Linked DNA regions of Nothobranchius furzeri. The protein of the gene in region 2 binds, or shares a complex with, the protein of the main gene of each other region. Links are inferred from orthologs where the notes say so. Each region holds a gene or a part of one and is shown on either strand. Other genes may lie near its edges.

Region 1 (3,500 bases), on a different chromosome or scaffold from region 2:
CAATGTGTACATAAATATGTAACAGTATATTTTTGTGACAAACATGTACAGGCTTGTGTTCATAAGAAGAAAGATCATCCACTTCTATAAAAAAGAACACCAACCCGAGACTGTTTTTGTCGCCTCTGAAATTGTTGCAGACCCTGGGCCTAAATGTCAAAAGACAAAAGCAGAATAAAATAAACCAGCACGGATTAAAATGTGCAAAGTCCAGGTAAATCTAAATTTAAGACTTAAACAGTAATATAAACAATAAAATAACACACTTTTATTGTACAGGTGAGGGGCTCTGCGGGTTTCCGGTGCTGCCCAGGGGGAAGGCACAATGGCTCCTTTTGTGAAAAACTTTATTGGAAGAAATCAAGCAACACATAATCAAAATAAAAGCTTATTTATGTTTACAAAACCAGAATAAGTTAGATTAATTCAATACCTGCTCAATAGCACTCTGACATTTTTCCTCAATGTCAGAATCAATCCTGAAATAAAGAAGAGCCGAGTTTTATTAATTAATTTCTGAAAGTCTTTCTTTTTCCCTGTCATTGTGCGATGGATTGAGTTGCATCAGTCAACGGTGCTTCCTTTAGGAATTTTAGTTTCAAACACACACCTTGTCTGGCTGAGGTAGAGAGATTGTCGCTGGATTTCCTCTGGGTCTATGTGCACTGGGAGAAGACTGGCCATTTCATCAATAGACCAGTTAAACTTAGAGGGAGTCTGCGGAAGAGACAGGAAATACATGAAGTCTATGTAAAGTTAAATGTTCAGGATTACGAAAATTTCTATGAAAAAAAATCACCCCTAACTTTGTATAAGTTATAATAAATAATAAAAATTGTATTATAACCCCAACAATAAGTTGATCATCTTCCAAATGATTGATCACAACCATTGTAAAAGGTTACAGGTTTGCTTATTTTTTCCATTTGGACGCCTACTATGAAGAATTAACGAACATTTCAAATTTTTTCACAGACATCCTGATAAATGTGGATCTGTTTTGTGTTCAGACTTACAGCCTTGCACGTCTTTGACTTGAAGACAGAGGGACTCGGAACCAGGGGTTCCCGCAGATGGTGGTAGTCGTTAGGACTCTCGAAGGGGTTCCTTATGGAAGACCTGCCTGGAGTTTCTGGTGTGATCTGGAGCTGAATGTGGTCCCCCATCTAGCCTAAAGTCGAGATAAAAAAGAAAACACTTCAAATGCAGAATTAACGAGGCGAAAATCGATCAAGTCAACAGTTGTTGTCGTTCATGTGATGTTAAGTTCGGTACGTTAGCTAAAAGAAAGGAAGCGGTCCACTCGCCATTTGTACTTACAACTTTGAAGATGCACGAATAATTCTGATCGAAATATGTGGAACAGGTCGGGGAAAAACATACAAACAGAAACAATTCAAACATCAATTTCAATTTCTCCTCCTAGGCCCGCAAGCCAATAGAAACGTTGCAGGAAGTGACGATTTTAACGTTATTTCCGCTGCCAGTTTTGACCGACGTGAGAATTTTGGTGAGGTTGTTAGATATGTGCTAATGTGGCTTACATGTTGTTTGCCCGTTTCTAATGATCGGGTTCTGTGACATATAAATACGTTAGCCATTATTATTATAATCAAGTTATTGTTAACTCGTGACGTCAGAGACACGCTGTTGGTTAGCCACTTCTCTTGCTAGGAAGCGTTAGCTAACCATCGTTTTATCACCATGGCAAGTGCAGCAAATGCAAACCTAAACGCAGTCCGGGAGACAATGGATGGTGAGTGTTTATTTGGCACGTAAGTGGCAGAACATGTAGTTTTAAAATACCTTCACAAACGTAAAAGCGCACATGCTTTGTAGCTAACTTCTAACCTTGTCACAGCAATAACATGTTTCATTATTGTTCTCGTTTAACAGTCTTGCTTGAGATCTCCAGGTTGTTGAACACTGGTTTGGACATGGAGTCTCTGTCCATATGTGTGAGACTATGTGAGCAAGGGATCAATCCTGAAGCCTTGTCTGCAGTCATCAAAGAGCTGCGGAGAGCTTCAGAGTCTTTCAAGGTACACAATTATTATGCATATTATTATTATGCAAGTTGCTAGAGTTCTGTTTGGAGCTTGGAGCATCTTCAGTGTTTCCCAAGAACACATTCATTTGCAGACTTGCTAAAAATGTCAACTTGTTAATTGATGGACAACTATATTTATTGTTATTCTTTCAGGCTTCTGAGAACTGCACAAACTGAAGACAGAAGACAGACCTCAAATGTTTGAAACACTCATCGGGATCATGCTCTGATCTGTTTTGGCACTTTTTTTTCTGTGACTTCTGCGCTGTCCTGTTCTGTACTTAATACATCTTTGGCCTGTGTTCGGGGCTCTCTGTAAAAATAGCACCATCTGTCTTATTTTGAACATAAGTCACATGCTTAAAGTGATGTATGCTCAGTCCATCCAATTTCATATTTAGCCATACTCCTGACATGCTTTTGGATGCGGTGCGATGCTTAGTCAGCAATGATATCTTGCTGTAGTAATAATTTTTAAAAGGAGAAATTTAATTTTCTATTCCCTTTTGTCCAACTTCTATGGTTTTTCTTGTGTATATAGTTAGTCATTTAATTGAGTTTTTTAAATAATATTTAATTTTACTTATGAAACTGGGTTTTTGTTGTTTCACTAATTTGTCTAAAATAAACTTGTCAAAGGTGGCCACTAGGTGGTGGTGTGTGTTTCTATTCAATGAAGTTAACAGGTGTTGTCTGAATAAATCAAGCAGTTATAACTTTCCAGTTTTCCTGAGAAAAGTTTATCTAATAAAGAAATGTATAGTTTGATAAAATGTGTGTTGTGGGTGTTTAGACTGCAAAGTTAATAAAAAGTAGTGATTTGCTAAAAGGACACGATCTTTCCTGTCAGACTAGGTGAAATAATGAGCAGAATGGTACACTTTATAATAAACAGCCAATTGTTGAATAAACACAGCTAACAATACTTCACAACAAAGGAGATCTGAGCAAAGGTCACTTAACAGTAGGATGTCCTGTTGATCTAAAGTCTTTTTTCTGATGTGTCTGAATTTGTTCCACAACATTTTGAGATATAGTGCAAGACTTGACAAAAACACATCTTTGATCTACTTGTGGGGAACGGGGGCTTGATCATACGTCTAACCAGGCAGCATTATTTTGTTTCTCTGCAGTCTGTAACAAAACTATTCATCTCCCAGACAAAGAAGAAAAATGCTGAGAGCACAGAATGTTTACAGGTCAGTAAATGGGCTAGAAGTGCCCTGTTCTCAACACTTGCTTGTATGCACCTCTAGGTTTTTAGGTTCACGTGAACGTTAGACGTCTACAAATGAGTAGCCCGCAAGCCAACTGACAGTAATGCCTCACCCCTCACAGGCACATCACAGAAAAAACAGCACAGGAGTGTGAGTGTAAGCATTTCTGTCTTCGACTGCTTTGTCTCACCATCTTGACTGACGGACTGTGATTCTAAATCCCTGCAATGCTT
Region 2 (4,665 bases):
AGTTTGGAAAATCTGGACTACTCGTCTCTGGTGAAAGCACTAGATGCTGTTCACAGGCGCTGCCTAGCTGTCTGTTTGGGGCTGGAGTATGAGCACCAGGCTTCCATTCAGATCTTCTCTACAGCAGCCATGTTGTGAGGCTGTCTCTGGAAAACACAGACTTCCAACCTCCTCCATAGGTTCTCTGTTGGGATGAGGTCTGAAGACTGACTAGGCCACTCCAGAACCTGGAAATGCTTTTTACATAGCCACTCCTTCGTTGTCTGGTCGGTGTGTTTGGGAACATTGTCATGCTGGAAGATCCAGCCTAGTTTCATCTGCATTGCTCTTAATGATGGAAGATTTATCCCCCAAATCTCATGATACACGGCCCCATTTTCCTGAATACAGATCAGTCCTGTCCCCTTTGCAGAAAATCAGCCTCAAAATATAATTTTTCCCCCTGACTCACAGAGGTAATGGTGTTCTTGGAATGCAACTCAGCATTCTTCCTCCTCCAAACACAGCAAGTTCCAAACAGTTCTGTTTTGCTCCCATCTGAATTTCCTGATCCTTCTCTGGATCATCCCGGTGGTCTCTGGCTGGCACACTTCAGACGGACTGGGGCCTCATTCATCAAGCTAGCTTACGCACAAAATGGGGTTGGAAAACAGCGTAAGCAACTTTCCACGCAAACTTTGGGATTTATGAAAGAAAACTTGGCTGAAAAACGTGCACAACTTTAAGATGACTAAGGACCTGGCTTACACACATGCTGGACATGGAGAGCACCTGCAGTGCTGCTGCTGAGAAGGATAAACTGATGAAATCCTGCAGCATTATCACTTGTACTGCTTCATTTTCACACAGAACAAGACCCCCCCCCCCCCCCCCACACACACACACACACACACACACACAGCCTGAAGCGCAGAATACAGAATATCAGCAGGGGGACAGATTGAGACAGAACATCATGCGTGTGTGACAGTGTGTGTCCTGTCACTGTGACCCGATCGATCATGCGCCCTGGCTACTTGTACAGGGGAGATCTCTGTTTGGGTGACTGGTTAGTGCGCGTGACTTTCATCCAGGAGTCTGGGGATCGAATCCCGATCGTATCATTTTTTTTATACCCGCCACAGATCTCTCTGAAGAAGTCAGCATTGACGGCTTCAGCAACGCTGTGCCACTCTGTGGATTTTCTCTTATTTGTTTTGCAAAAGCACTTCCTTTCATTTCTCCACCTCACCCACAGGTACCTCAACTTCTGCTTCTGTGAAATAGCGCTTCCTTGATCTGCCTTGATCTACGGTCGCCATGTCATTGGCGGAGCGCTGCAACAGCCGGCTTATGTATATGCATGAGATCCACAAGGCACTTTGCATTGACCATTTATGGCAATAGGTGGGCGTGGTGAGGGCAGGATGTGACTAAAATGCAGCTGAGAAACATTCTCATAAGTCTCAGATTTATGAAGTGGAGGTTGCGTGCAGCTGTGAGTCCTCCATGTTTGATAGATCACACACCTGCTTGGCGTAAGTACATATTTTTGCTGAGCTTAAGTACGGTTTTAGTAAGGATTCTGCGCCATGTTTGATAAATGAGACCCCTGGACATGTGCTGTTCTGAGCAGGGGGACTTAAGAGCATTACGGAATTTTAATTCATGTCAATGTAGTGTGTTAGTAATAGTAACCTTTGTCACTGTGGTCTCAGCTCTCTTCAGGTCATTAACCACCCCCTAGTGTAGTTCTGGGCTGTTTCACCATTCTCTCAAGATCATTAGTACCCCATGAAGTAAGAGCTTGATGCCAATTGTAGATTGGCTCATCGAGTCTTTTGCAGGTGTACAGTCTTGTCCCTGGTGTCCTTAGACAGCTCTAAGGTCTTGGCCATGGTGGAGGTATAAGTCTGATGGTTTTAAGGTGTGGACAGGTGTCTTTTATACAGACAACAAGCTAAAAAATTATGTATATATATTAGGACTGGACGATATAGAAAAAATTCCAATCAATAAAAAAATCTTATTGATTGATATCAATAATTATTGAAAATTATATGAAAAACCATAGAAAATATGGGCTAATTCTAATAACCAGCTTTTTTTCGGATGCATTTCTGAATTAAACAAGAATTGACTTCTTTCCTGTTTGAATACAGATCAATTTGAGATGAGTGTTTTGTGATTCAGCCAAACGAGTACAGCTACAGAATATTAAAACAACATATTGCATTAAACACAATCAACAAAAAACTGTGCAAGATACAAAAATGTTAAATCAGGTGGATCTACCTGTAGTAGTCATCTTAGTAAAACAACATAATGAAACTATTCCAAACGAAGATGCTTTACAGCCACTGGCAGTAAATTACAATGAACCAGAACCAAAGACTGTTTATGCTGTTGTTTATTATAAAGTCAACAAATCGAACCAAAAAGGCCCTATTATTCAGACTTTATCAGCTATGTTTAGCATCTCATATATATATATATATATATATATATATATATATATATATATATATATATATTCACCAACAGGCTTGTATTGATCTGTAAAGTGGCTTTTAAGAGCTTCACCTGTCCAGATCACATCCGTCCATTAGACTCACATTTCCCTAAAATAAATCAAATGAAACATAATACAACCGGAAGGAAACAAGAGCAGCAAAACGCACTCACCCACTTATACTGCGTTGAACTTTATGACTGTCGACGTCCAAATAACGATGAAATCTGACAGAGGAAATTAAAGCAGGCGGTAAACAGCAGCCCTTCTTTGAGTTAGCTACACTTTTGTTAGCAGCTAACAACATGCTTGCTTCCGGTGGCTAACTTACTTGAAATTTGACCACGTAAATTTCAGCGCAGACTGGAAATTTTGGTCCTCCTCATCTTCAATCTTGCTGATAGATCTGATTAACTTCTTGGTTTCTTTCTCCGTCTCCTTTTCAAAGGTGCTCCAGTGTGCCATGGTGTTCCAGCTGCTGGTTGTGCTACAAGAATTAGCCCCAAGCGTTAGCCTGCATGGAACCGCCTGGCTCACTCTTGCAAACTATTGGATAACTTTTCAAAATATAAGACTTGAAGAACAACGTTGAAATCGTTATTGCAAATGTACAAAAACTGAGGCGCTACATTGACTGTTAGGTCCATTGATTCCTCCACTACCGCGTCATCGAAACATACAATGGTGCGCATGCGTACCACTGAAAAAAAGTCAACGCTTTATTTCCTTCTTGTTCGTTGAAATGTTATGTTGTATGGAAGGCTGTTGTATCATATAAAAAAGCACGCACCCGTTTACATTTTTCGAGTATCAAAATTTGCATTTCTGCTGGTCAAATACATCCCTTCTTCTTAAATCAAACAATATTAAACTCATAATTTGTATTTCAAAATCATTCATTGGTTTGTTTGATTGATTAACCCCATGCTTATAGCCACGCCCACCATCTCATCTTAATTAATCCCTTTTCAGAATCAGAACGAGAAGGGTTTATTGCCATATGTGTGAGAGATCACATTAGTAAATTATTGGTCCAGCCATCCCCCGTATGTCTTAAATGACTGCATTGGTTATAACACGTTCTTAAATCAAGAATAGCATATTTCAAAAGGTATAAATTGCAATAAATGATAATTTACTGATTAAACTATAAAAGCAATTATTCTTAAAGTTTGTCCTCTGAAACTGATCAATATTTAATTGGTTTAAACACATTCCAGGGGTCTTCATTAAAGATGAATGCAGGTCCATCCACCTACAATGTGAATAAAGAAAAAAGAGGAATCAGAATATAATTACAAAATCCCTTTAATCGTTTTAAATTAAGCTGAAAAAAGATTTTTGTAATTTACTGTAAATAAAAGTATAAAAAATATCATTTCAATACATCAACGACACCAAAAAATGGTTCTCTCTTTTTCACAGAATCCCAAAAATAAGCCCTAAGGAAATAATCCAAATGAGACCCTGTGTCCACATATGTGACATTGACTTCTTCTTGCATTATATTTCATTCTCTTCAACTTAGACCTTTTTAAAAGATATGATTTAGAGACACTTGATTTTGATTAAGTTTTAAAAATGTTTCTTTTTCTTTCTTTTTTCACACCAAATACAAATTCAGGCCTTGGGAGGTTGAAGTCAGAATTCTGACCTTTTTTATCAAATAAAAGGCAGACTTTTTTATACCTTCCATAAATATCGACTAAAAGAGATTTGTTGTCACTTAAAATATTTTTTTCTATTAGTAGGTTCAAAAAATAATTTGCTGGAAGAATAATGTTTCTTTAAATGAAATGTTGATATTTGTGGAAAATGTGAAGAATATTTAAAAAAGTATTACTGATACTTTTAGTGTCAGTATCTATGGAAATTTAATGAAGCTTTTCAATTAAATAAAACAAAAAAAGTTTAAACTTACATTTCTAAAATTGTAACTCTAATTAAAACATCATAAATTTTAAAGCCAAAGTTATAAAAGCCATTGTTGGAGGCCCAACGCAACGAGCCACATGTGGCTCCAGAGCAGCAATTGCAGCCCCCCTGGTATAAATGATAAACGAGCTTTCCATACAGAATGTTCAACACACGCTATCGGATTTGGAACGCTCCTCCTCCGTTTCTGTAGCAACAACACGAAGACGAAGAGAAACGTCTGGTCGTAACCGATGGTC
Region 3 (3,930 bases), about 790 kb from region 2:
CAGTCATCTGGCCAACAGACATGTGAGAAGTGCTGCATCATTTGGTCACCCATTGACTTTGGTGGATGGTTTTGTTGCTTTACAGGAGCCAAGCGGAAGACTTTTACGTGGAACATCAGTCAAAGCCTTTCTTCAGGTGAGTGCTCGTGTAAATGATCTCCCAGTTCTGAGCAGAGAAGGGTTGTGATTGCCATCTAGCACTCCGACCACAACCTGTGATGGTGACATTTTAGAGTTTTTTAAATTCAAATCAGCTCCAACGTGACTCTGTTTTGCAGTGCGCTGGTGCACTTCATGTCCTCTGGGCCAGTGGTTGCCATGGAGCTGGTGGGTGACAAGGCCCTGTCGATCTGGAGGGAGCTCCTGGGACCTGCAGACTCTGCTGTGGCGTTAACAGAGGCGCCACAGAGCATCCGTGCACAGTTTGGAACAGACGCCATCAAAAATGTGGCCCATGGCTCTGACTCCATAGCTGTAGCAGCAAGAGTGAGGATTTTGACTTTGTTCTCGCTCTCTTGTGCCTTCAGTAGTCTGAGAATCGCACTTCCTGGAACGGTCATGATCATTAAAGTTTGTGTGTTTGTTTTTGTAAGGAGCTGGAATTCTTTTTTCCTTCCACGGTCGGCCATGGCCCCTCCAACACAGCCCTGTTCACAGACTGCACTTGTTGTATCATCAAACCCCACGCTGTATCAGCAGGTAAGGAGTCACTCAGGCATGGCAAAATATCTCACTTTTATTTGTATTTTGTTATTTTGAGTTCCTGTGCTGCTGGCTTGTTTCCCCCCCCCCTCCCCAACAAAGCCACCATGTGGTTTCCAAAATGGCCTTGGATTTTTCCAAATCCCAGTGCTGATCCCTGCTCCCGGGGCATGCCACCAGAGCTCTGAGCTGTGAAATGTGAAATTCTGTGCAGAGCTGATGTTTGCACACAGAAAGCTGTTGACTGGAGGTGGACCCCAGCTTTTGTTCTGCACTTACAGCAGAGAACATACAGTAATAACTACAGATCCACTAATATCTTGTTGTATCTTGAGTTTCATCATTTCTCTGGTATCTGACTGTCTTTATGTTTCAGTTTGAGCCAGCGTGACATTATATTGCACATACATGTATAAATTCATGTACCCTTGCATTTACGATGGAAACGCTCTCAATGGTCCCTGAAATAAACTTAAAGGGATTTTCCACCCCTAAGTGAAATTGAGTTTATTGCTGTATTCCCCAGAGTCAGAAAAGTCAGAAAAAAAAACCGACAAAATGATTCATTATAAAGGTTTTGTGAAAGCAAGGCTTATTTCCGTCCACTGCCTCTGGGCGATAATAAAGCCATGGTGTATCTGTGCACCGCTGCTCTCTGGCCTGCCTTCATGCTGCACCTAAACAGAACAGATCGCCCACTTTTGTTATTTCTGCAGTTACAGCCACGCTTAGCCTGCTAGGGCACGTTCAAATCTTTGGCTTGAGAAAGGAGGCGGTGAGAGAGAATACAAGTGGGCATGCTTTGTTTGTCTGCAAGGCACCGTTGAGCAACAGTTAAGCTTGCAACGAGCCGCGGTGATAAACCAGCTCGGTCCGAACGCATGGATTTCAACATTTGCTCAGTGAATACCGGTGGTTGTTGGCTGTGTTAATCATTCCTGACAGGTCACAGTGATAGTGCTCTGTGCTCGTATATAAACTTTTTATCAAACCCCGGCGTTTTCAAATGAAGGTTTCCTTCATTAGGGGGTCCAAATAAATTTAAAAAAAGTAGTTTTATGTGGAACAATAATTGCTCCCCATGTTACGTCCTGATTTATTTGTGATTAAACATATTTGTAGAGCTGGGGTGAGTTTCACCAGCCACACCCAGGCCTGCTTACTGCCACTAACTTCAACAGAACCTGTCCAACAACATGAAGTAGGCTAAAAGATCTCCATGCTCTGGTCTAAAGAACCCAACATCACCAAAGCACTGCAGACCTCATTAAGGTCAGAGGTCATGAATCAACCATGGCGACAGAGAGGTTCTACTGACCGTAATAATCCATAAGACTCATCTCACATTACATTTAGTGTAAAACTAACACTTCATTTCAGTGAAGTATCCTCATTCCAACAGTGAAGCATGGTGATGGTGGTATGATGGTCTGGGGCAGTTTTGCTGCTGCAGGACCTGGGCCACTTCCTGTAAATGATGGAACCATGAACGCTGATCCGTAGCAGAACATATCTTAAACAATGTCTCGCTTAAGCTGATGTGTTTGATGTGCTACAAGAAGTTTGGCGCTTCTTAAAACAGTTCAGTTAAAACGAATCAGTTATCTCTCAGAAAGTGTGGCATTGTTAAAACTTCAAAGCTCCTACTCAGGCGTCAGTTTCACTGCTAGAAGTGACTCCCACACTGTTTACCTTCAGAGCCGTGATATATTTGGTCCGAGCCAAGAATAGAAACCAGGCTGAATGATTTGTCCAGCTGAGGTCGACAAAAAGCTCTGCTCTGATCTCCCCTCAGAAATCTCTTCAGTAGCTCATTTATGTCGTCAAGACGGCCTGTCACCGTGGCCATGAAGGACGCTGTGAGTGAAAATTCACTCAGACATGACCGGAATAGAGAAGCTTCTGTTGCCAGGCTCCTGGAATAGTATCTCCTAGCAACAGCAGCAGCTGCTTTGTGGCGCTGCGAGGAGTGTGTGGAACCTGTGCAGTCCTGGGGAGGGCACAAAGGACTCAGGCTATTACCTAGTGCACATAACTGGACTGTGACGTAGGGAGGGAGAGATCCACAGACGGCGGCTACGCCTGGTTCCTATTGAACGTCTGCGCTGCAGCATTTAGAGTTAATGAAAACCGTCCTGGGTGACAGGTACACAAGCTACTTTTTATCAGACTGAGATTACGAGACTGGCGCCTTGATTCAATTGTGTGTCTGCAGCAGTCTGACCTTCAGAGTCACTGCAGCTGCACCACTTCTACAGCAAAGACCCAGCTCTTTGATGGGATGTACAGTTCACTATCTCGTTTCCTAAAAGGTTGCCTGGACAAAAATGCTTTCCCTCGATAGACAACACATCAGCGAGACTATCTCACTCTGTCCAGAGGACAGACTGAGGTCAGTGCACTGAGATGTACCGCTGATGTCTGAGCAGAAGCACGTTCAGTAGTGATGCATCCGGACTTCACGATAGTCAGATGCTTCACTGCAGCAGTGGATTCAGGTGTTATTTGATCTGGACGACATCTGAGATTGCTGCAGCACTAAAATACCGTGTTTGTCCTTCTGTGTAAACTCGGCTCATAAAGACTGATGAGCATCATGTGTTCACAGGGCTGACTGGGAAGATTCTTAACTCCATATCTGCAGCTGGATTTGAGATCTCAGCTCTTGGAATGGTGATTATTATTTTTCTGTGTTTGTTTCACATGAAATGAGTAAGGTCTGTAAACTCTAGCGCTTTAACAGCGACTCTTCATGCTTCCCACAGATCGATGCTGTAGAACTAACAAGCTGCTCAGTGTTACTGTGAAAGGGTTAGGGTCCATTAGGTGGAATAAAATCCCTTCATTTCAGTCTGTTGTAACAAATGGTTAATGGCCTGTATTTATACACCACTTTCTAGGGTACGACACAGCTTTTATTCACACACACACACACACACACACACACACACACACACACACACACACGCGCACACACACACACACACACACACACACACACACACACACACACACACACACACACACACACACACACACACACACACACACACACACACACGCGCGCGCGCGCGCACGCACACACACGTTCAAACACTAGCAGTGATTAGCTTCAGTGTAGCCACAGCTGGGAGACTGACAGAAGCTAGGCTGCTGTAAACACTCCCTACTGGTCCCTTCAACCACCACAAGTGCCTTGCCCAAGGACACAACTTCTTTCAGTTCAGT
Region 4 (3,055 bases), on a different chromosome or scaffold from region 2:
TTCTTCACATGACTCTTCATCTGGCTCAGAGGTCTCCAACCCTGGATGAGTTCTCTCAATGCAGCTACAGTCCTCTATGAAGTGCATTGGTGGAAGCACAAGTAGGCCAAGGCTTCGAGTGTGTAGTAAACAAGTAACGCAAACAACTGCAGAATTGGGACGGTGAGCATTATGTCATCAACCTGCACCACTGCGTCGTATCTCAGCGACTTCCTACATGTGGATGCAGGTCGCTGTTTGTGTTATTTTGCTGCTTGAATTGATTTTAAAACTGAATAATATTAAAACAAGTCATTTCATTGCTGGCATGCCGTGTCCACAAACACTCACCATCACCATTATTAGTTCATATTTTTCAACAAACATGTAACGCATGTTTGCAACAGAGAAACTTTAGATCACACATGTACACAACAATAACATCTTCTAAAAGGGCACATGAGCCATTTCTCCGCCTCTAAATTCCCCAAGGCTGATTTTTTTTCCCTCTTTTATTTTCCTTCATGACCTTAATATAAAAAACAAGTGAACCTTTGCTCTCTTTGCCCTGGTAGTCCACAGTTAGATGCAGCAGAGGCAGCAGGTTGTCGTCGTCCAGCAGCACCTTATGAGCAGCCTGCTGGAACGCCACGTTCACGTCTGGAAGGAGAAAACAGTCTCAGCACATGAAATCCATGACTGCTGCTAGTAGTGAACACAAATTCAGACACTTTTCATCAACAGAAACCAGCAGATGGTGGAAGCCCAGGTGTACAATGACTTTTTGGTCACAACCCACTAGAGCTAAATCAGAAGGTGAGGGCGACTCTGTGCTTCTGTTGTCTCTTATTAGCTGTAAGGTGACCCAAGCGGCTTAAACAGGCAAACATCTCGGTCTCTGCACAGACTAAAAAAAACTGGGTCAGCCACACAAAACAAGGCCAAAACCTCCTCTAAATGAATTAGAATTTTCTAAAGAGAATTGAAAACAAGTCAACTAAATGGTTTGTTTCACAGAATATTCTGGAGTGAGTGAAGGAGGGAGCAGGAGATCAGGGCACACGTCTGCAGTGGTGTGGATGCTGAACTGGTCAGTTGAGGTGAAGAAAGCGTTAAGCCAGACAGTGAAGGTGATCTTCATCTCGATCCTGACTTTTGGCCATTAGCGCTGAGTAATGCCAGAAACAAGATCATGAACACAAGCGGCTATAAGGAGTTTCCTTAGCAGGGAGGTTGGGCTCAGCCGTTGAGAGGGAGGAGCAAACAGCGGAGCCGCTGCTCCTCCGTGTTAATAGGAGCCAGCTGAGGCGGTTCAGGCATTTGGTCTGGATGCAGGGTCTGTTTAGAAAAAAATGCACACTCTGTTTATAAGTTGCTGCCGGCCTTGCAGCGCTTCTTCTAGCAGTAATCTGAAATTAATTCCTCCAAACAGCACGCCGAACTTCAGCTTACCCGTCGAGCAGAAAACCAGCAACAGAGGTGTCTGGGGGGAGGCCAACCTTCGCTTTAAGCGTACGCCATCGTTGGAAAGAGTCTCCTAAAAAAAGATTCTGATCTTATTTCTAGGGCCCGACTTCAGAGACACTTCTCCTCTTGCGACTCTCGGCCATTTTCAAAAGAACCCGGTGAGAACGACGAGGAATAAAAGCGGATCACTCTGCACATAGACAGAATGCGCAGGAAGTGAAAACTACCCAGCACCAAGAACGCACGACGACAGCCTTTCGTGAAAGCGTCAAAAAAATGATTGACAGTCTAAACAAACAACCGACTACACGTTTATTTGTGAAACATTTACAGGTACACCAGTTTAGGAGGTCAAAAACAGCTCTTCATCTACAGGGTCTGAGTCTTCCTCTGTAAAACGATGAACCCGATTATGATCTGATGAAGAGGAGGAGACCCCTCTGGCATCTAACCACCACTGTCTGAACTCCTTCCTCAGAGAAAACACCCAAATGAGAGGAACTGGTTGTCTCAAGAAAGTTTGCTATGGATCATAATTCTGTAAAATATTTCATGTATACAGAATGCATATGATATGATTTAACACCAGGTAAAATAAAAACACCCAGAGGTGAGTGAGATCTGTGCAGACATGTTTACCGTGCTCGGTGACTGCTGTTGGAGGAGTCTTCAACATGTGCTGAGCAAGGTCAATGAACACCTGATAGAGCTCGCCACGACCCAGCAGGTAGAAATCCTTAACGATCTGGAGGAGATCACAAACATCGTCAGCACAGCGCATATCCGAGTTCAACAAACAATTACGAAATGAAAAACCTTGAGCTGTTCCAGCAGATTTGCCTCCTCCACCATCAACGTCCACAGGTGCTGCAGATCAAAACAATAGGACCAGGGTTACGTTTTACAGCGCCGTCCCCGCCAACTTGTGTTTTTATTTAACCGAGTAAAGTAATGCAGCGATGCTGGTGCTCACCTCTGCCACTGTGCTCCTGATTCGATCGATTAAATTCTCAAAGTCCACCAGGCTGAACAGCGGCTGCTGTTTGAGTCTGTGTAGCTCAGCAGCAAAAAGGTCCTCCTGGTGCTTTAATATGGAGCCTAAAACAAAAGGACAAAGATGTGTTTGAGGGTCACTAATAAGCGGGCGCTAGACTCCACATATATATGAAGTACCGGCTCTGGACGGGCTGTGGTTGTGATTTTCAAACATTTGAACAGATTCTCCAACAAACAGGATCTTCTCAGCCACCCTGATGGGGATATAAGATGGCAGCATCTCTGTTCGCAGAGAGAACTGCTGGAGTGATGGAGCCAGCATGTTCTCCTCCTCGATCAGCCTCTGAAGACATTAGAGTAAACGCTGTTAGACAGACCCTATCCACGGACTGATGAAGGACTTTAACCGGCCTCACCAGGTCCTGTAATTCTCTGAGCTGCTTGCCACTTAAACCTCCCAGACCCAGGTCCTCCTCCTCCTCGTCCTGGCTGGCAGCAGCACCTCCTGCACTGGGACCCTGCTTTATGAAGAACTCCTCACTTTGATCCAGCAGCAATCCGTGAAGCATCCATGCTGCTAACTGCTTGTACATCACACCATGACACGCAGCCA
Region 5 (4,524 bases), on a different chromosome or scaffold from region 2:
GCGCAGCCAGGTGGTGGCTCTGTACCGTCGGACGGAGGTGAGCGCATGCGCTCTCTGGTGTTTCTGGCACGTAATTGATCAGTTGTTTCAGTTAATTATAGAATCATCGATTTGTTTGTTCCTAACGGGATTAGTGCACAGTAGAAGAACGTATAATTAAACAATTCAATCACATTTCTATTGGGCATTATAGCTGCATCATAAATGGAAAAAAGTTAAATAAGATCAAACATTCTCAGCCATGAAAACTTAGTGATTTTATAAAACAGGATGTTAAAACCGCTGTTTTATCATTTGTGAGTATTTATCAGCACCATAAAAAGTGTTTCTATAACAAAAATATTCACAATCAATTTAAATAATTTGAGGCTCATTTTAAAGTCATTGGTGAATTGTTTCTTAATGGAAATGCCTTTGTCTTTCTGTGTAACTGTTTTATTTTATTTAATCTTGTATGTTTTTATCTCGTCTTTGGCGTAAAGCTAACTAGTGACTGTTGCTGCTGCCTCTTGGCCATCGTCTTTGAAAATGAGAATGAGTTCTCAATCTCATCTGGTAAATAAAGGTAAAATAAAATAAATAAATACATAAAAATACTTTTTGTTCCCAATAATTAATAATATAGACGAGTGTTCTTCAATTATTTATTGTGCTTTCAGTTAAAGTCGTTTAGGGCTGGATGGCTGTGGTCCAGCTAGTAAGCAAATCAAATAAGTGGAAAAGGTAGGGTTAGAAATGGGACGGCTGAATAGGTTGAATAAACAACCTAAAGCCTCTCATAAAAATACATTTATTACATGTTTTACACTGTAAACTCATAGTTTTGTCATTTTGGGCATGTCCCATATTTCCATTGACCCATACTGATTCATTTGAGAGAATAAACTGGAGACCAGCAGCCTGAGGGGGCACATTCAGTGTTTACCCAGTTTCTCCTGAACCCTGCTGCATCTTCTCAGACACACAGCTACTGTAGCACATTTTAATTATAACTGTTGAAAATTAAACTTTTTAAACTGTCACTGTGTCTTGGTTCCCATCAGATCATTACAGAAAATATTTTCTTTTAAGATTGTGGCTTCTCTTTAAAAAAAACATGTTGTTTTACACTCCCGCTGAAAGAATATGCCATTTCAAATTTTTTATTATTTTTCTCTAACTCTACTGAAAATAAAAATCAATAAATGACAATTTTGCGAAAAAATACGTTTTCTAATTAAGTTTTGTTATGATGGACATTCTGTTTTGTTAATATTCTGTCCTTTGGTTGCTTATTCTGTTCAGTTTATTATGTTAATTTGCACTTTTAATTGTGAAATACTGCACCTTCAATCAAAATTTAAAAACCGATAGTTGTAAATATATTGTTTCTTTATCTTGTTTTGTTAAACATTTTCCTGTTTTGTGTTCAAAAATCAACGAGGAAGGAAACTAAAATAAACAAACTACGATATTTTAGTTCATGACCGGTATCAATAAAGATTTCAACGAAGAAAAACGTGAACATGGACAACTAACGCCCCCTTCAGTTCTGGAAGCAACATGCCTTTTCCTTATATGGTGTTGGTGTGCCCGAGCGCTCCTTCCCCGCCCCTATCCGTTTTCCGCAGCAGCCAGGCCAGTTAGCCAAAATGGCGTTTTCATAGCGGGAGACTGGAGTTAGTTGATGATCTTCTTCAACATTTATTAGATTATCGGACGACTCGTGACTCTGGGACCACAGACACCATGGCAAGCCTGGACCAGAAATCTCCCAACGTCCTTTTGCAGAGCCTCTGCTGCAGGATCACCGGGAAAAGCGAAGGTACATCAGTTAACGCTAGCTTAAGCGCGCCACGATCATTCTCAAGTATCCAGGAAGCTCCCTACCTAACCTCATTCAAGAAAGCGCATTTTTACCATTTCTTTTACATTTCTCTTTTAATAACCTTTTATACTTAACATAATATGTTACTCTAATTGTTGACGGTTGCCGTTGAATTCGGCGAGGAGATTTGTTATTTGGCAGCCTCTATTCGGGAGTAATTTAACGTTTTACACATCAAACTGGAGAGTTTTGCGACCGATTTACGGCGCACAAACTATTTAATTCTAGCTAGCTTTGTGGGGGAACAAAAACATAAGTGACTGATTTTGCAGCTCGCTGGTTGTTGATATCTGTGGTAAACATGTCACGTCGTAGCAGGGCCCGGTCTGTCATGGCAGCTGTCGGTCCTCTGCTCGGAAGATGCTGCACACTCGCGTCACTCACCGCTCTGTTTGGGTTCGTGAAGCTCCTTCAGCTCTGTGAGCTCGGAGCTCCGCAGATCCACCCAACGTGTGCAGGGCTTTTGGATGCACATGCCCTGCTAACTGCAGCCCCCTGCAGGAAAACTAAACATCCCAGATCCTGGTGATGCACCGATTCTGGTTTAGAGGACTGACACTGTTCTCTGATTTTTGTGCAGCTCTGATCTGCTGAATTAGGTTTTAGAGATGGACTAAACATGCACTCATGGACTTCAATGACACACATCTGAGTTTCCTATACTGATTAGACTGCTAAATAATGTCCGATTGCAATCACCAGCTAATGTCTTACTGCCTTTTTAGTTACCAGGTGTGATCAACAAAGGGCATGTTTTTAAACTGAATCTCTTTGACTTGACTGGGACCTTCGTTTGTTCCTGCAGCTGAAGTTGCCCACCAGTTCCAGTATGCGGTGCGGGTCATCGGCAGCAACTACGCCCCCACCATCGAACGGGACGAGTTCTTGGTGTCAGAGAAGATCAAGAAAGAATGTGAGTGCTGCTGGACCTCCTACAGTCCCACAGTGATGAACCCAGTCTGTATGTGTGGAGCAATGTTTGCTTTTTCACGTTAACGCTTACCGCACCTTGTAAAGTAGCTGAGGTAGCAGCAGTCGCACATTTTAATCTGGTTAAATTACACAAGTCCTGGCATATGAAGAGGTTTATTCCAGGAGCTCTTAGCTAAACGGCTACAGAAACATAATCCAGCCTCAGATTTAGATTATAGATGTGGTGGGGCTTGTCAGAGCTGTGACTTTAGACAGATTTGTAGGAAACCTGAGCTTGTTTAGTCAAAACTACGTTTTCTACTGTGTAAAAAGCTCTCGGCTTGTATTTTTTCCTGGATTTTCTGTTTGATTGGGGACTTATTCAGAAGCCCAGCAGCTAACATTTGGTTGTGCCGTTTCAGTGCTGAAGCAGAGGAGAGAAGGAGATGCTGCTTTATTCTCAGAGCTGCACAGAAAACTTCAGACGCAGGTTTGTGTCCTCCTGAGAAGCTCCGGTCTCTTTGGGATTATTAAAGCTCGTCTCCTAATCTGAGAAATAGAATTAAAAATCCAGTTTTTCTGGTTTTTACGGGTAAACATTGGTTATTTTGGTGGAGTTTTTGACCAGGTGTTGCTCTTCATTAGGGTGTTCTGAAGCATCGCTGGTCCGTCCTCTACCTGCTGCTCAGCCTTTCTGAAGACCCTCGGAAACCGTCCAGCAGGGTGAGAGATGCACACTTTTAATCACCTCCCGTGCCAAAGTTGTAATCTCATCTTAATCTGTGCAACTCCTCCTCAGGTTGGGAACTACGGGGCGCTGTTTGCTCAGGCCCTCCCACGGGACGCCCACTCCACCCCGTTTTACTGCACCCGACCCCAGAGCCTGGCTCTGAGCTACGCGGACAGGAACGCCGGCTTGTCGGGAAGTGTCGGGACCAGTGGGATCTCCAGTTTGGGAGTGTACACGCTGAACGGACCCACGCCGACGCCACAGGCCTTGCTGGCCAGGTGAGAGTCCACAGCTTTGTTTTATTAGTCGATTCACCTAAAAGGTTCTGTGAACATCTATAAACACCCGACGCTGATATCACCACCAATCAGCTCCGCAGCATAATCTCAGTCTGAGCTGGTTAGCAGTTTTACGAGGCACTAGAAGCTAATTTAATTCCATTAACTCTCATTAATGATGCAGGAATCCTGCAGCTTCTGCATGATAGTCTGAGTTCACCCAAACAGCAGAAGGGTCATCTCCTTCTCCGAACAAGCAGCAACACTTGGATTATGCAGCGAGTAGCCAGATTAGATGAAAGTGCGTTTTTACAACAGTTCGTAACAATGGAGGCTAACGATTCGAGGTGAAAGTTGAGCTGTTGGGTTTATTCTGCAGAAGCGTGTTGTCGTTGTTTGTAGTGCCGGGTGCTGGTTCTGGTACCCTGAGTAAAACACTTTTTCAGAGCAACCCGTTCAGGTTAATGAGTCACACAGCTCTGTTCCTGACGGTCATGTGACCAGGATGTCATTCACACATAGCCCCGCCTCTTTGTTTACAACATTTCTCTGAGTTTGCAGAAAAAGGTCAGATTTGAACGTCTCAGCTCAGGAGGAGTCGCGCACGCTTTGATGGCGACGTTTTTCTTTCAGACCTCTCCGTCACCTGGAGAGAGTCGCAAAGCAGTTTCCCGCCAGGACAACAGAGGGCGCAGCGCTTTTGTAGGGGTGTCCCGTCTCAGGTCCATGTTGGTGTT

What was found.
Region 1: the proteins of tubgcp5 (region 2) and mzt1 are in contact, whole or in part, in a crystal structure (PDB 6L81), measured with the Homo sapiens proteins. The link is inferred for Nothobranchius furzeri from reciprocal best matches to the Homo sapiens genes TUBGCP5 and MZT1. Residues at the interface, in NP_443135.3 of Homo sapiens: Gln14, Gln15, Asp18, Val19, Glu21, Leu22, Val23, Val26, Ala27, Gly28, Asn36, Ala40, Phe43, Ala44, Asn47, Phe48, Arg52, Phe53, Leu54, Phe72, Lys80, Ser83, Trp84, Leu87, Thr88, Glu90, Phe91, Ala106, Ser109, Ile110; in NP_001065243.1 of Homo sapiens: Glu23, Val27, Leu28, Glu30, Ile31, Ser32, Ile34, Leu35, Asn36, Thr37, Leu39, Leu44, Ile46, Cys47, Val48, Arg49, Leu50, Cys51, Glu52, Gln53, Ile55, Asn56, Pro57, Glu58, Ala59, Leu60, Ser61, Ser62, Val63, Ile64.
Region 3: tubgcp5 (region 2) and nme7 share a complex: the UniProt entries of both Homo sapiens proteins name them as parts of the gamma-tubulin ring complex. The link is inferred for Nothobranchius furzeri from reciprocal best matches to the Homo sapiens genes TUBGCP5 and NME7.
Region 4: the proteins of tubgcp5 (region 2) and tubgcp4 are in contact, whole or in part, in a cryo-EM structure (PDB 9I8M), measured with the Xenopus laevis proteins. The link is inferred for Nothobranchius furzeri from reciprocal best matches to the Homo sapiens genes TUBGCP5 and TUBGCP4. Residues at the interface, in XP_018102626.1 of Xenopus laevis: His233, Leu234, His235, Leu238, Ile241, Trp242, His245, His300, Met301, Thr302, Asn304, Cys305, Ser308, Val309, Gln312, Ala392, Ile393, Leu395, Asp396, Lys397, Arg410, Leu441, Asp442, Tyr443, Asp444, Asn445, Val446, Gly447, Glu448, Ala449; in XP_018110859.1 of Xenopus laevis: Met1, Ile2, His3, Glu4, Leu7, Tyr12, Pro13, Gly14, Ser15, Ile16, Gln29, Pro32, Phe33, Glu60, Thr63, Gly64, Ile84, Arg87, Ala88, Arg91, Arg101, Leu105, Gln109, Leu112, Pro115, His116, Leu117, Val178, Gly181, Val182.
Region 5: tubgcp5 (region 2) and tubgcp3 share a complex: the UniProt entries of both Homo sapiens proteins name them as parts of the gamma-tubulin ring complex. The link is inferred for Nothobranchius furzeri from reciprocal best matches to the Homo sapiens genes TUBGCP5 and TUBGCP3.

What each region holds. Positions count from the first base shown.
Region 1 is NC_091752.1:31,535,801-31,539,300, reverse strand, and holds mzt1 (mitotic-spindle organizing protein 1), read left to right. Parts: upstream 1-1,467; 5' UTR 1,468-1,704; coding exon 1,705-1,756; intron 1,757-1,896; coding exon 1,897-2,042; intron 2,043-2,203; coding exon 2,204-2,227; 3' UTR 2,228-2,692; downstream 2,693-3,500. Other genes in the region: bora (protein aurora borealis), read right to left, coding at 105-149, 267-345, 434-479, 611-717, 1,017-1,166. UniProt on the Homo sapiens protein: Required for the recruitment and the assembly of the gamma-tubulin ring complex (gTuRC) at the centrosome.
Region 2 is NC_091756.1:62,472,401-62,477,065, forward strand, and holds the start of tubgcp5 (gamma-tubulin complex component 5), read right to left. Parts: upstream 3,155-4,665; 5' UTR 2,957-3,154; coding exon 2,823-2,956; intron 2,719-2,822; coding exon 2,665-2,718; intron 1-2,664. UniProt on the Homo sapiens protein: Component of the gamma-tubulin ring complex (gTuRC) which mediates microtubule nucleation.
Region 3 is NC_091756.1:61,686,609-61,690,538, reverse strand, and holds part of nme7 (nucleoside diphosphate kinase homolog 7), read left to right. Parts: intron 1-85; coding exon 86-136; intron 137-278; coding exon 279-486; intron 487-593; coding exon 594-699; intron 700-3,310; coding exon 3,311-3,375; intron 3,376-3,930. UniProt on the Homo sapiens protein: Possesses an intrinsic kinase activity. Displays 3'-5' exonuclease activity with a preference for single-stranded DNA. Does not seem to have nucleoside diphosphate kinase activity.
Region 4 is NC_091749.1:30,388,154-30,391,208, reverse strand, and holds part of tubgcp4 (gamma-tubulin complex component 4), read right to left. Parts: coding exon 2,859-3,055; intron 2,786-2,858; coding exon 2,620-2,785; intron 2,545-2,619; coding exon 2,420-2,544; intron 2,314-2,419; coding exon 2,263-2,313; intron 2,192-2,262; coding exon 2,086-2,191; intron 640-2,085; coding exon 532-639; intron 1-531. UniProt on the Homo sapiens protein: Component of the gamma-tubulin ring complex (gTuRC) which mediates microtubule nucleation.
Region 5 is NC_091754.1:48,776,553-48,781,076, forward strand, and holds the start of tubgcp3 (gamma-tubulin complex component 3), read left to right. Parts: upstream 1-1,606; 5' UTR 1,607-1,728; coding exon 1,729-1,804; intron 1,805-2,672; coding exon 2,673-2,780; intron 2,781-3,201; coding exon 3,202-3,269; intron 3,270-3,424; coding exon 3,425-3,502; intron 3,503-3,578; coding exon 3,579-3,787; intron 3,788-4,524. UniProt on the Homo sapiens protein: Component of the gamma-tubulin ring complex (gTuRC) which mediates microtubule nucleation.